Linked DNA regions of Arabidopsis thaliana. The protein of the gene in region 1 interacts with the protein of each later gene in a pairwise test. Each region holds a gene or a part of one and is shown in the gene's direction. Other genes may lie near its edges. The genes, in order: CXIP2, AT5G17560 and AT1G55805.

The links.
Region 2: the proteins of CXIP2 (region 1) and AT5G17560 interact in a two-hybrid assay, tested with the Arabidopsis thaliana proteins (one study listed by BioGRID).
Region 3: the proteins of CXIP2 (region 1) and AT1G55805 interact in a two-hybrid assay, tested with the Arabidopsis thaliana proteins (one study listed by BioGRID).

What each region holds. Positions count from the first base shown.
Region 1 is NC_003071.7:16,030,679-16,035,226, reverse strand, and holds CXIP2 (CAX-interacting protein 2), read left to right. Parts: upstream 1-2,057; 5' UTR 2,058-2,172; coding exon 2,173-2,553; intron 2,554-3,379; coding exon 3,380-3,880; 3' UTR 3,881-4,042; downstream 4,043-4,548. Other genes in the region: FAC1 (AMP deaminase, putative / myoadenylate deaminase), read left to right, coding at 88-240, 321-374, 456-566, 640-813, 1,037-1,117, 1,210-1,308, 1,392-1,460. UniProt on the Arabidopsis thaliana protein: May only reduce GSH-thiol disulfides, but not protein disulfides. Participates probably to the maturation of iron-sulfur proteins and to the regulation of the redox state of the BOLA proteins.
Region 2 is NC_003076.8:5,786,314-5,790,526, forward strand, and holds AT5G17560 (BolA-like family protein), read left to right. Parts: upstream 1-2,044; 5' UTR 2,045-2,160; coding exon 2,161-2,484; intron 2,485-2,819; coding exon 2,820-2,887; coding exon of another isoform or gene 2,888-2,891; exon of another isoform or gene 2,892-3,062; coding exon of another isoform or gene 3,063-3,081; exon of another isoform or gene 3,082-3,216; coding exon 3,217-3,358; 3' UTR 3,359-3,651; downstream 3,652-4,213. Other genes in the region: PEX19-2 (peroxin 19-2), read right to left, coding at 430-475, 558-874, 1,183-1,471, 1,641-1,680, 1,808-1,853.
Region 3 is NC_003070.9:20,858,042-20,861,427, reverse strand, and holds AT1G55805 (BolA-like family protein), read left to right. Parts: upstream 1-1,944; 5' UTR 1,945-1,989; coding exon 1,990-2,472; 3' UTR 2,473-2,818; downstream 2,819-3,386. Other genes in the region: UKL3 (uridine kinase-like 3), read right to left, coding at 14-155; AT1G55803 (ferredoxin-fold anticodon-binding domain protein), read left to right, coding at 3,193-3,373. UniProt on the Arabidopsis thaliana protein: May act either alone or in interaction with glutaredoxin as a redox-regulated transcriptional regulator, or as a factor regulating Fe-S cluster biogenesis. The glutaredoxin-BOLA1 heterodimers bind a labile, oxygen sensitive iron-sulfur cluster.

The sequences.
Region 1 (4,548 bases):
CATATCTTCAAATAACCTCTAATCCGCATGTCTTTACACAATAAAGAGTTGGTTTGACTGGTTGCTGTCTCTTGTTTGCTATTTCAGGTTGTTGGATTTGATTTGGTTGATGATGAAAGCAAACCTGAAAGACGTCCCACAAAACACATGCCCACTCCAGCTCAATGGACTAACGCATTCAATCCTGCATTTTCGTATTATGTCTACTATTGTTATGCTAACCTCTATGTGTTAAATAAGGTACCATTCCTCTTAGTCGCTTCTGTAACTAACTTGGTGTTCTCAAAACTGTGTAATATGGAGTAACTATTTTTCTTCAGCTTCGAGAGTCAAAGGGCATGACTACTATCACGCTACGACCACATTCTGGAGAGGTGTGTTATTTCTTCCTTTGTGCTAGATAAACAGTTTTCAGTTACAGTTCAGTGGAATTTTAACATGTCTACAAATTTCAGGCTGGTGACATTGACCACTTGGCTGCTACGTTTCTAACATGCCATAGCATCGCACATGGAATCAATCTGCGAAAGTCTCCTGTGCTTCAGTATCTGTACTACCTCGCCCAGGTTTGTGGAGACTGCCTGCATGTATTACATATGTATTATTGTTTCTGTTCTAAGAAGACATTTCTTTTGACAGATTGGTCTGGCCATGTCACCACTGAGCAACAACTCTTTGTTTCTAGATTACCACCGGAACCCGTTTCCTGTGTTTTTCTTAAGAGGTCTCAATGTTTCTCTGTCTACTGATGACCCCCTTCAGATTCACTTAACTAAAGAACCTCTCGTGGAAGAGTATAGCATAGCTGCATCAGTAAGTCATAATCTTTCCATTATGCAGTCTTGCCACACATCATAGGCCTTGAAAAGTTGATTATATTTTTAAAAGTCTTATTAGTTATTACCTTTAAATGATTTATACTGATCTTCTGCAATTGCAAACACGAAGAACAATGAAATTTCTCTCTATACATCCTTTTCTTCTAGGTTTTAGTTATATTTATGTATTAACTGAAGATGATAACTGGATTTTTCAGGTTTGGAAGCTGAGTGCGTGTGACCTGTGCGAGATAGCTCGTAACTCAGTGTACCAGTCAGGTTTCTCACACGCCCTGAAGGTACTTGTTATATCAACATGGCCCATAGTATGAATGAACAAGATGTCTCTGTTCCGATCTACTAATAATACTAACTTGTTGAGATGTTCCAGTCGCACTGGATTGGAAAAGATTACTACAAAAGAGGACCTGATGGAAACGACATTCACAAAACAAACGTGCCACACATAAGGGTGGAGTTCCGTGACACGGTATGGAATGAAATATATTTATTCTTCACACAAGTTAATTTCTCTTTGTAGGAAAACAAATTAAAAATATGAAGTTGATGCAGATCTGGAAAGAGGAGATGCAACAGGTTTATCTGGGCAAGGCTGTTATCTCTGATGAAGTTGTTCCATAAAAACCACAATCAGAAATGGCAAGACGTAAGAATCCAACATGTATGTAACAACTCAATGATCTTATCACTTCTGTTACAACATTTTCTTATGATGTCAATGATTGAATTTCAGATTGCAGGGGAACAAAGAGAGCATTTTGAGAAGTATACGAAAGCAGGAACCTAGTAGATAGGGTAATAATATGAGTGGCTCTGTGCCCTGAGAAAGCGATTAGGCTGTGCCAAAATCTTATTGTTTTATAAAGCTTTTTAGATAATGAGATACAAAGAGACCAGTTGAGAACCGGTTTTAATATAATGGATTTCAGTTTTTGGATTACATACTGTTTTAACTTGGATTCAGATTCAATTTTTAATCAGAAATAGCATTATGTTCGAAATCCAATTTTGTTTGTTTGTTTTGGTTCTGTTTTAAACCATACTGAGATCTGTTTACCGGATTAAACACATGTTTTTGGGTCACATTGGTAGATTTGGCTTGATCATGAAGTGAACTAGACAAATGTTCCTTTTGTTTCATAACAGACTGAAGTATGGAATGTGTAAGAAAAAAGAAACTAAAGCGGGTCCCACTTTTCCGAATTATGGTATTTAAAACCCAAGTATCATAAGGCCTTAATAACAGTCCAATTCAGGCCCAATGGATAAAATCCTATGTCAAATAAAAGAGCTCATCATTTTCCACCGATAACTTTTCTCAGCTCCGACAAAAATGGCTGCAATCACCATTTCTTCCTCCTTGCACGCCTCAGCCTCTCCGCGTGTTGTTCGTCCACATGTTTCTCGAAATACCCCTGTGATCACCCTCTATTCACGCTTCACACCATCCTTCTCCTTCCCATCTCTCTCCTTCACACTCCGTGACACAGCTCCGTCTCGTCGTCGTTCCTTCTTTATCGCCTCCGCCGTCAAATCTCTAACGGAGACGGAGCTGCTTCCAATCACAGAGGCTGATTCAATCCCGTCCGCTTCCGGTGTATACGCTGTATACGATAAGAGCGACGAGCTTCAGTTCGTCGGAATTTCTCGGAACATCGCTGCGAGTGTCTCTGCTCATCTCAAATCTGTGCCGGAGCTTTGTGGCTCCGTTAAGGTACTTATCCATGATTTCATATAGAGGAGTAGCATGTCTGTTACTATAACGAAGGATTCTTTGTTTTGTTGTGGTTGACTTTTGTTTATTACTGTTCATAGATTTGGGAAGTGTTTTGGTAAATGAATACTACAAAAGTTCATCACTTTAGTTCCAGAGATAGTATTTCATATCATTAGGATCACTATTGTTTGCAAAACTAGAGCTAATGAAGTTCTTGGTTCTGTTGTTGGTAAGAGTTCTTTTAACAACACTTACCACACATTATGATTAGGAGATGCATCAATAGTTCATTTTGTATATGTTACTTAGGAGTTAGGACTTGTTTTTTTAGCATTTTCTTTTGATTAGTTTTTTAGGGAAATTCTACTCTATAGATACAGGACAGTGCGCATTGGCGAGATTTGTCGAGGTTTGAGAGGTATATCGGTTTTGTACCAATGGAGAGAACTGATTCTCTTTGGCATTTTGATTACCATTCTGTGTCAGGTTCTTTTAATTAATAACAAGAGCTTTTGTTTTTTTTGTGTCCATGATCCTTAACTGTATCAGCTTACAACAGTCAAATCTAAAGATTGCTCTTGAGAAATTTACATTTTTATGGGTTGTATTATTATCTTAAGAATTTACATTTTTCCTCTTTCTATCATTTATTTGTCACTTATTGCTTATATTTTGCTTATGATTTACTTATGTTATGATTATTTTAGTGTTTATTTGCTCCATTGACTCAATAGGACTTTGTTTATGCTCATGTGATGGATATTGACAAGTTTTGGTATTGTTGATATATCTTCCATAACTGATTTCATCATTGTTTTGCTAGGTTGGAATAGTAGAAGAACCAGATAAAGCAGTTTTAACACAAGCATGGAAATTATGGATAGAAGAACATATAAAAGTAACTGGAAAAGTTCCGCCGGGGAATAAGTCAGGGAACAACACATTTGTCAAACAAACTCCGAGGAAGAAATCCGATATCCGTCTCACTCCAGGTCGCCATGTTGAGCTCACGGTTCCTTTGGAGGAACTGATTGACCGTTTAGTGAAAGAGAGCAAAGTGGTAGCTTTCATAAAAGGATCAAGGAGTGCTCCTCAATGTGGATTCTCACAGAGAGTTGTTGGGATTCTTGAAAGCCAAGGAGTTGATTATGAAACTGTTGATGTTCTTGACGATGAGTATAATCATGGGCTAAGGGAGACGCTTAAGAACTACAGCAATTGGCCAACGTTTCCACAGATATTTGTGAAAGGAGAACTTGTAGGAGGATGTGATATTTTGACCTCAATGTATGAAAATGGTGAACTTGCCAATATCTTGAACTAGTTTCATCCGATTTTCTTCTCTATTTCTAGTTGTAACTCCAAACATTCATTATAGAGAAAACATGCTTGGATTCTCTTCCATAGTTACAGATTCGTTTTCTGTTTTCCGCATTTATAAAAGGTTACAGATTCTATACAAATCTAAGAGTAGGTTTAAAACGCATAACCATCCACTAAATTCACCTATTTTGTGGTCATTTAACCAATGATTTTTTTTTTTTTTTTTTTACACTAATTGTCCCTTTAAATATATATGTTGAAACAAAACATAATTGGAAATGGAGTTAAGTAACTATTGTTACGTTAAATGATTTAATTGATTAATTTAGTAGCATTCTTATTCTTGTAGCACGTTTATTAGAGAATTATTGTTCTTCTTTGACATAATCTTTGGGTGAACTAACACAAAATATTCATTTTAAGTACTAAATTCTCATTTGTAGGATGAATATCTCAAAAATAACACAAATATTCTATGGTATTCATTTGTTACAACTTATATGAGTAACAAACGTTCATGAAAATTGAAAAATATGATGATGACGAGGTTAGTTTATGGGTTGTATTTTCTTTTTATTTTTTTTTTGGAAACTGAAAAAAATTAAATGAACAAATAAAACAACAAGTCAACGGTCTCAAAAATTCGATTACATAAAAACAAAACAATAA
Region 2 (4,213 bases), on another chromosome or scaffold:
TGATGGTTTTTTAAGTGGCTAAAAGTTTAGAGTGAAAAGTTGAGATTCCAACTAGTATAGGACCGAAAATTCAGCCAACCCATGAGACTATGATGCAATGCCTCTTTGGCTCTTTCCTCTTTTGATTTGACGTGACAAACCTTACATAGGACACTTCATTTATTGAACAGCCGAAATGAATTGGATGAAGAGCACGTTTATGTTTCAGTGAATTTATGAATTTGTGTGTAGAGATTCAAAATTATTCCAAAACAGAACTAACCAAAAGGAACAAGAACCGAAACCCAATAACTTTGGTATTCAGGTAAGAAAAAAAAAAGAACTTAAACAAGCTTTGCATTGTACAATGCACAAGAGAAACAAAAACATGTTCTCCATTCTTCAATGGCTGGACAAGGCCAAACAGTTTTCTAAAACCTGTTTCTTCCCTCACATTACACAACAATTTGGTGAAGACTCGAGCATGTCCGGAGACCTGTGAACATATATATATACAAAACTTAGTCACCTTGGGGTCTTTAAAGATCACAGAGATTCCAATAAGGAAGAAGACTTACATTTGGCCCAGACTAGCGAAATCAAAGCCAGGATCCATCTCTTGCACTATATCACTCGGTGGTTGTCCACACTCTTGCATCTTCTGCATTATCTCCATTATCTTGGTCGAATTGTTTGGTTCGTTCTCGTACACCAAGTTGAGTTCTTTGATAAGTTCATACTGGCGTGAATAACGATCGAATTCTTCCTTGTTTAGACTGGATTCATGCTCTTCTAGCCATTTTGGGTATCTTGCACCAATCTCTTTCATTGGTTCGTGAAGAATATCCTTCGATAACAGCTGTTGCATCATCGTGTCCACTATCGACTCCAAGTCCTAAACAAAAACATGGAAATTATGAAATGAGAAATCATAAAAACAAAACTTCTAGTGATCAAGACTACTTTCAAATGGTTCTGCAAACTAATTCTCATCTTCAATTGTGGTTTTTTCGATATTAGTATCAGTATCACTACTATTAACACAGCCTTCAAAACTACTTTGCAACATGTGTTACTACTCTGCAACAACCTTAACTAGATGAAACTTTAGTAATCTAATCTAATCAGAGAACTTGAAGATAAAGAGAACATTAAACTAGATAAGTATAGCAAGAAGTAACAACTCAGTTTGTGTATACTTACGTTAGACCCAGTAAGATTCTCGAATTGCTTGATCCAATCTTCAACCATAGCATCATCAGAACCTGTAGGTTGCTGCTTCGATGACAAGGACTCAAGTCCCTTCACAGTTTCTCTAGTTTGTTCCCTGAGTTTATCAAGTGCCTCAGTAACATGGTCCTCTTTAGCAATCTTTTTCTTTCCTTTCTTCTTACTCCTCATATCTGGTAACCCCATTCCAAGACCTTGAACCCCACTTGGCAATGACTCTGTCTCTTTTTTATCACCCTCTTCTTTCTTAACCCCTCCATTTCTACATAAATCCAAAGCTAATCAACACCACAATTCCCACCAAAAACATAACAGAACCTCTAATTTAGTATTGATGTAACCACAATCTCAAAACTCTAGAGCTAAGTAATCTAACCACGTGGCATAGATACAATTAGAGAGAGACAGAGATTATGAGAAAAAGGAGTAACCTTTGAGTAAGATTAAGATCCTTGAAATCATCCAAGGCACCTGAGAAAGACCCAGAATTCTAAATTATAGAAAACGAACCCACAAGAACAAAAACGTTTTTCACCAATCACCTAGAATTGGTGAACATGTTATCAAATCAAATTAAAATTCGTTAGGAAATTATTACTATCGAGAAGCTCGTCTAAGTCATCGGTGTGAGTATCGTTGGCCATATTCTCGAGTCTCTCTTCCTCAACTCTCGAAGAAACTCACAAAATTCGAAGAGGAAGAGAGAATTATCGCATTGAAGAGAGAAACAAATTTCCAAAGGCGGTGTTGTTCAATTGATCAAGTTCAGGATTCGATCCAACGGCTGACATTATTTCCATTAAAGAATTATATTATTAAAATCTTAAAATGACTTGAAACCACGAAAGCCCATTAAGTTTAACTGTGTTGTGTCGTAAGCCCATTTTTTCAAGAACCAACGACATTGCCACAGAACATTTTTTTTTTTTTTACTCGCAAGTCTCTCAAGCAATGGCGCAGACATTAATGGCGACAACTCGTCCGTACGTTCTTCTCTCTTCCACAAGAGCGAGTCTTTATCGCCTTTTTCAATCTTCAAAGAGACCCTTCGCTTCATTCTCAGCTCCTCTCGTGAGATTCACTAACTCGAGATGTGTAAGCGCCGTTTTGTCTCGTAAAGAGACTGCGCCGTCGTCGATTTACGGCAATAGAGTTTCTAGGGTTTCTGGGTTTGGTGCTTTGGACATTCGCAGCCTTAATTTCAGTACTAAATCCTCTCAAATCAATGATGCTGGTTCTATTGATCAAACCCTTATGCAATCCATGGAGCTAAAGGTTGGATTTTTATACCTCATTAACTAATTTCAGTGAAATTGATTCATTGTGTATGTTTCAGTGTCAATTCAATTTATAGGTTATAGTATTATTAGTGAATTTTTGAAGGAATTGATTGGATACTTGGTATTGGCAACATGTGTCATATTTAGTTGATGGAAACTTGGTATTGGCAACACGATTGCTCTCAGTAGCTCCAAAATGATCAAGATCACTAAGCTAAGATAATTAATGAGGAATCATGTCTCTTACTTATATGATTGAAGCAAACGATTCTTTTTTTCGATTTATCAACACATGTCTCTCTACTTATGAGGTTTTGGCTTCATTTGCAGATCAAAGAACAATTGAATGCAGAGTCGGTTACTGTAACGGATATGTCTGGAGATGGACGTCATGTCTGGTAAGTACTCTGATTTAACTCATTTTTGTCTTCCAATGATGATTCTTTATTACACTTGAGTGAAGTTGCAGATGTGTGTTATCACTGTTATGGATAGTGTTTAGTGAAGTTTGTTAGATATATAGATAAATTCATATTTTGAGATTCCTTTTCTTTCATTTTAATCACAAAAAAGTTTCAGGTTCAACAAGTAGTAGAATCATCAAAGTTGGGATATAAGTTAGTACTTATTCTTCTGCTCTTGATGGAATCCAGTCATAGATTCTTACTTTAACTTGTCATATTAGATGGTTCTGTTACTTAATACCAGTTTTGCTTAATATTTGTAGCATCAATGTGGTATCATCGGCTTTTGAGGGACAATCTGCAGTGAACAGACAAAGGATGGTCTACAAAGCCATTTGGGAAGAGCTTCAGAACGTTGTTCATGCCGTTGATCAAATGACAACAAAGACTCCTTCTGAAGTTTGAAGCGTTAAATTTTCCGAACTCTAAAAGGCTTCAATATCTTATATTATTTGATTAGCTGACAATGCTGTTTGTTTTATCAAAAAGAAAAAAGCAAAAGGAACTGATATACAGCTTTTGGTTATTTTTTAAGTACTTTGATTGGTTCTCTTGCAACCCGCCAACACATGTTAAGTGTTGGAGCGTTTGCGGTTTGCGGTTACACGTGTTTGGCGTTTTCAATCGCTCTAAATGAATAAGAACAAAATTAGCGTTTGTGGTGGCGGATTATCTTCAAAATAAACTTTATTCTCTACTAGCTAATGTTATCATTTCAAAAAAAAAAATTTAGTCGATAAATAGATTAAAATATATTTGTGGTCATAAAAATTATATGTATGCATGGAAACGTATCAATTCAAAACTGAAAAGTTTTTTGCAATGAAAATTGTAAGATTTATAATAATATGATTGTTGCTTTTATATACATGTTACATGCATGAATAGTGAATAACTGAATATTGAACTACTATGGTTGATTTGGGAACCGTATTAGCCATCAACTAGACAAAAATCGTTTATATCAGTAGTAGCAACACTTAATAATGGTTACAACTAGTCCATCTGCTCAAATTCCCATATCTTTACTTTAGCTACATGGATTAACAGTTTTTTTTTTTTTGTTATCGGTTATTATACCATCATTAGAAACATAATGTTGTTTTGTAAAAAAAGAAAACACTCATATTGTTACAACTTGGAAACATAAGTTCATTTAACTCCAATTATTACAAGTAGACAAACATAGGTTTTATAGATACTATACTACCACAACCCATCACATGTTTTTTTTCACATTATGATTGGTATTTACAAAAC
Region 3 (3,386 bases), on another chromosome or scaffold:
CCACGACTCTCACCGATCACAAAAGGTTGACCATGTTCTTCTTCCTCAGCCATTTGCTCTGGTCTATTTGAAGCTAAACCATCCATTTGATGAAATCCTGAGAAATGAACCTTTGAGGATGTCTCTATTATATTCACATCCGACTTTGAAGCCATTCCTACAACACAAATATGCAAATCTAAATTCACATGAAATATGCCAATAAGGAAAGCAAAGCTACCTTTGTTGTCACCATCCAGGAACAAAAAGGAACACTTTCCAGTCAAAAAACAATTCCTCAAAAGAATCAAACTTTTTAGTGATATTAGTTAGATGCCACAAGTGCCAATGCCGTGATACCCATTTTCTCAAATCCAGTATAACACACAAAACAATCAACCAATCATGATAGGCCACCAGATAATAGTAACGCCAATCCTAAACATGAAACCGTAACTTTTTCCCGGGTAAAAAAGGGAAAGAACAAAAAGAAAACAGAGATCAGAAGAGAAGAAAGCTAGATTTTTTTAGATCAATACATGCAAAAGAATTATAAGAAACGTTTCATCATCATATAAACCAATATAAACCGAATCAACATGAAGATAAAAACTCACGAAAAAAGAAAGAGGGATTGAATAAGCTTCGAGATCACCGATTAGATATAGCTAACAAAAGAGCTTCCAAGTTCCAGATAAAGAATCTAAACATATAAAGAGAGAGAGACACGAGCATTGCCTGTTAAACTCGATGCACAGACAAAAACTGGACTTATTAAAAATAAAATATATTGATAACGTATATAAGTGTATGTATATGCGTTGAAAGAGAGAAAAGAATGAAGGGAGGATGCAGCGGCGGTGACGGGTTTTTGCGGAAACCGGAAAGTGGTTTTTTTGGTTTTACGAAAGTACCCTTCCCACTGAGGGACGTGGTAGTGGCAATTCTCGTAAATGTGAGAGTGTTTGAGTCCCTAAAGTAGAGAGTGTGATCAAGGATCCACGTCAGATCCGAATAGGATGTAGGACCTACTATCGAAAGCTGCAGCTAAAAACGCAGTGATATAGATGCGTGTGGTCGAATGCAATCTTACGTTACTGCAAAATTATTTATTTTATACTATTTTGGATTACGTCTACAATAATTTGTTTATTCTGTTTTTATCCATAACATTTTAACTTCATATGTTTCCTCCAAATCTATTTACCTGAATTTTGTTTTTCGAAATATATAATTTACCAATTAATATTAGTTTTCTCAACATCTACACTACCAAAGGATGCTACAATGTAAAATATTATACACAGGAACAAAATTAGCATATTTACAATTTAATCTGCACGATTGTTTGTCTATAAAATTTGAAGGATATAATCAATTTCTTCTTTTAGTTCCGTAGATTTTTTTATGATTCATTAATGAAGTTTAGACCAGAGATTAGGATCCTTAAAAAATTTGGATGAGCAGCTTAGAACCACTTTAAAAATTAATTTTGTACATCCAAAATTATCGAAACAAACTATTACCCAAATCAAAGATATTGCCTTTACTTCAAAAACTGATTACAGTTTTGGGTATGTTTTAGCACTATACCATCTTATTCTTATCATACCATGATCTTCTTGGAGAATTCATCTAATACTATTTTGGTCATAAATCAACATTTCAAAAAATATCCACGTTACAATTGTAAATTGTTATTACTTAATTATGTCTTAAGTTTTTTAACCACACCAAAAAAATATTAAATCATATACACAAACATTTTTCGAATGTATTTGTTATTTGATTTCTCACACAAATGTGAAGAAGTATGAGGGTGTTTCGATACACTTTTAGAGTTTGTTTGTTTTTTTGTAATTTTTTTCTCACAAATGTGGGGTGATGTTATTATATTTGAAAATTTGTGGACCTTAATGCAAATAACGCCTCTAATAGTAGATTCGTGAAGATGATAAGCTGACAAAACGACAGCGTCTAATATAGTTTCGAGTTTCTTCGACAGTGGCAATGTTTTCATCTTCGATTAGGTTAATCGTATCTGGGTTCCACCGGACTCAACCCCTAAAATCGCCGGTAAATTCTCCGAGCGTCTTCATCTCCGTACCTAAATTCTTCAACTCTGAGTCAAAATCGACGGGAACTGGTTCAAGATCCGTAGCAATGAGCAGCGTTGAGAAAACCGGGTCGGATTCTGGAGCAATAGAGAATCGAGCGAGCAGGATGAGAGAGAAGCTTCAAAAAGAGCTCGAACCAGTGGAGTTAGTGATCGAAGATGTTTCGTATCAGCACGCTGGTCACGCCGGAATGAAAGGTAGAACCGACGATGAGACGCATTTCAATGTGAAGATCGTTTCTAAAGGATTCGAGGGAATGAATTTGGTGAAGAGACACAGGTTGGTCTATCATTTGCTCCGGGAAGAGTTGGATACTGGATTGCACGCTCTTTCTATCGTCTCCAAGACGCCGTCTGAGTCTCCTTCTAAAGACTAGTGTACTGGTACTGTTTAATGTATCTTCTGTTTCTGTTATCAGAGTTTCTCATCAAACTCTGTTCGATTCAAAGATTGAATTTTTACCATCAAAGTGCTCTGTTTTGGAATTTATTGCGGAGCCAAAGTCTTCATTTTTACATACGCTTGAGGTTGTGTGTTGGTGTTTCTGGAATTGTGTGTTGGAACAAAGACACTTGCTTTTAGTTCAATTCGAGTTCTGTCTTTTCTAGCATTCAAAACTATAATGGTCATAGCTTGATGAATTGAATTAAGGCTCCATTTAGTTGAAAGTCCAATCAATGGTCATGTGTTTGAATTCTCAAAGGAAGCTCGATTGTGCCGTGTTTGTTAGCTTGGAGCCAAAAGGGTTGTTTTTCCATGTTTCTGTCTCTTTCTTCTTCAGATTATTCTCCCATTGTCATCAATGGCGTTTGCGTCTTCTAATCGCTAACGCTAGAAACAAAACGCCTTTTCCAATAGTCCATGTCACCTTCCTTTAGCAACAAATATATGTACTTTATGGGCTTAAACCAAATCTAATCAGTGATCACCTTTTTCTTTTGTGGGTAAAGTGAATCGTCATTTCCATTGTCTGGAGAAGCTAAACCGTCCCTCTTCTATACATCAACAGAGCAAGTTACGTTAGTATATGTCCGAAGATAAATAAAACGAAAAAAAAACAACTTTCCAAACTATCATCATTTTCACTACATTGGCGATGAGGGAGCTCTCGGAGCTTAACAGAGACAGAGACGGTGATGAAGAAGTGTGGGTCAAACACTATTCATCCAAGCACCAGATACTTCTCGTAGGCGAAGGAGATTTCTCCTTCTCTTGCAGCTTAGCCACTTGCTTCGGCTCTGCTTCCAATATCTATGCTTCCTCTCTCGATTCATACGGTAACACTTGGTT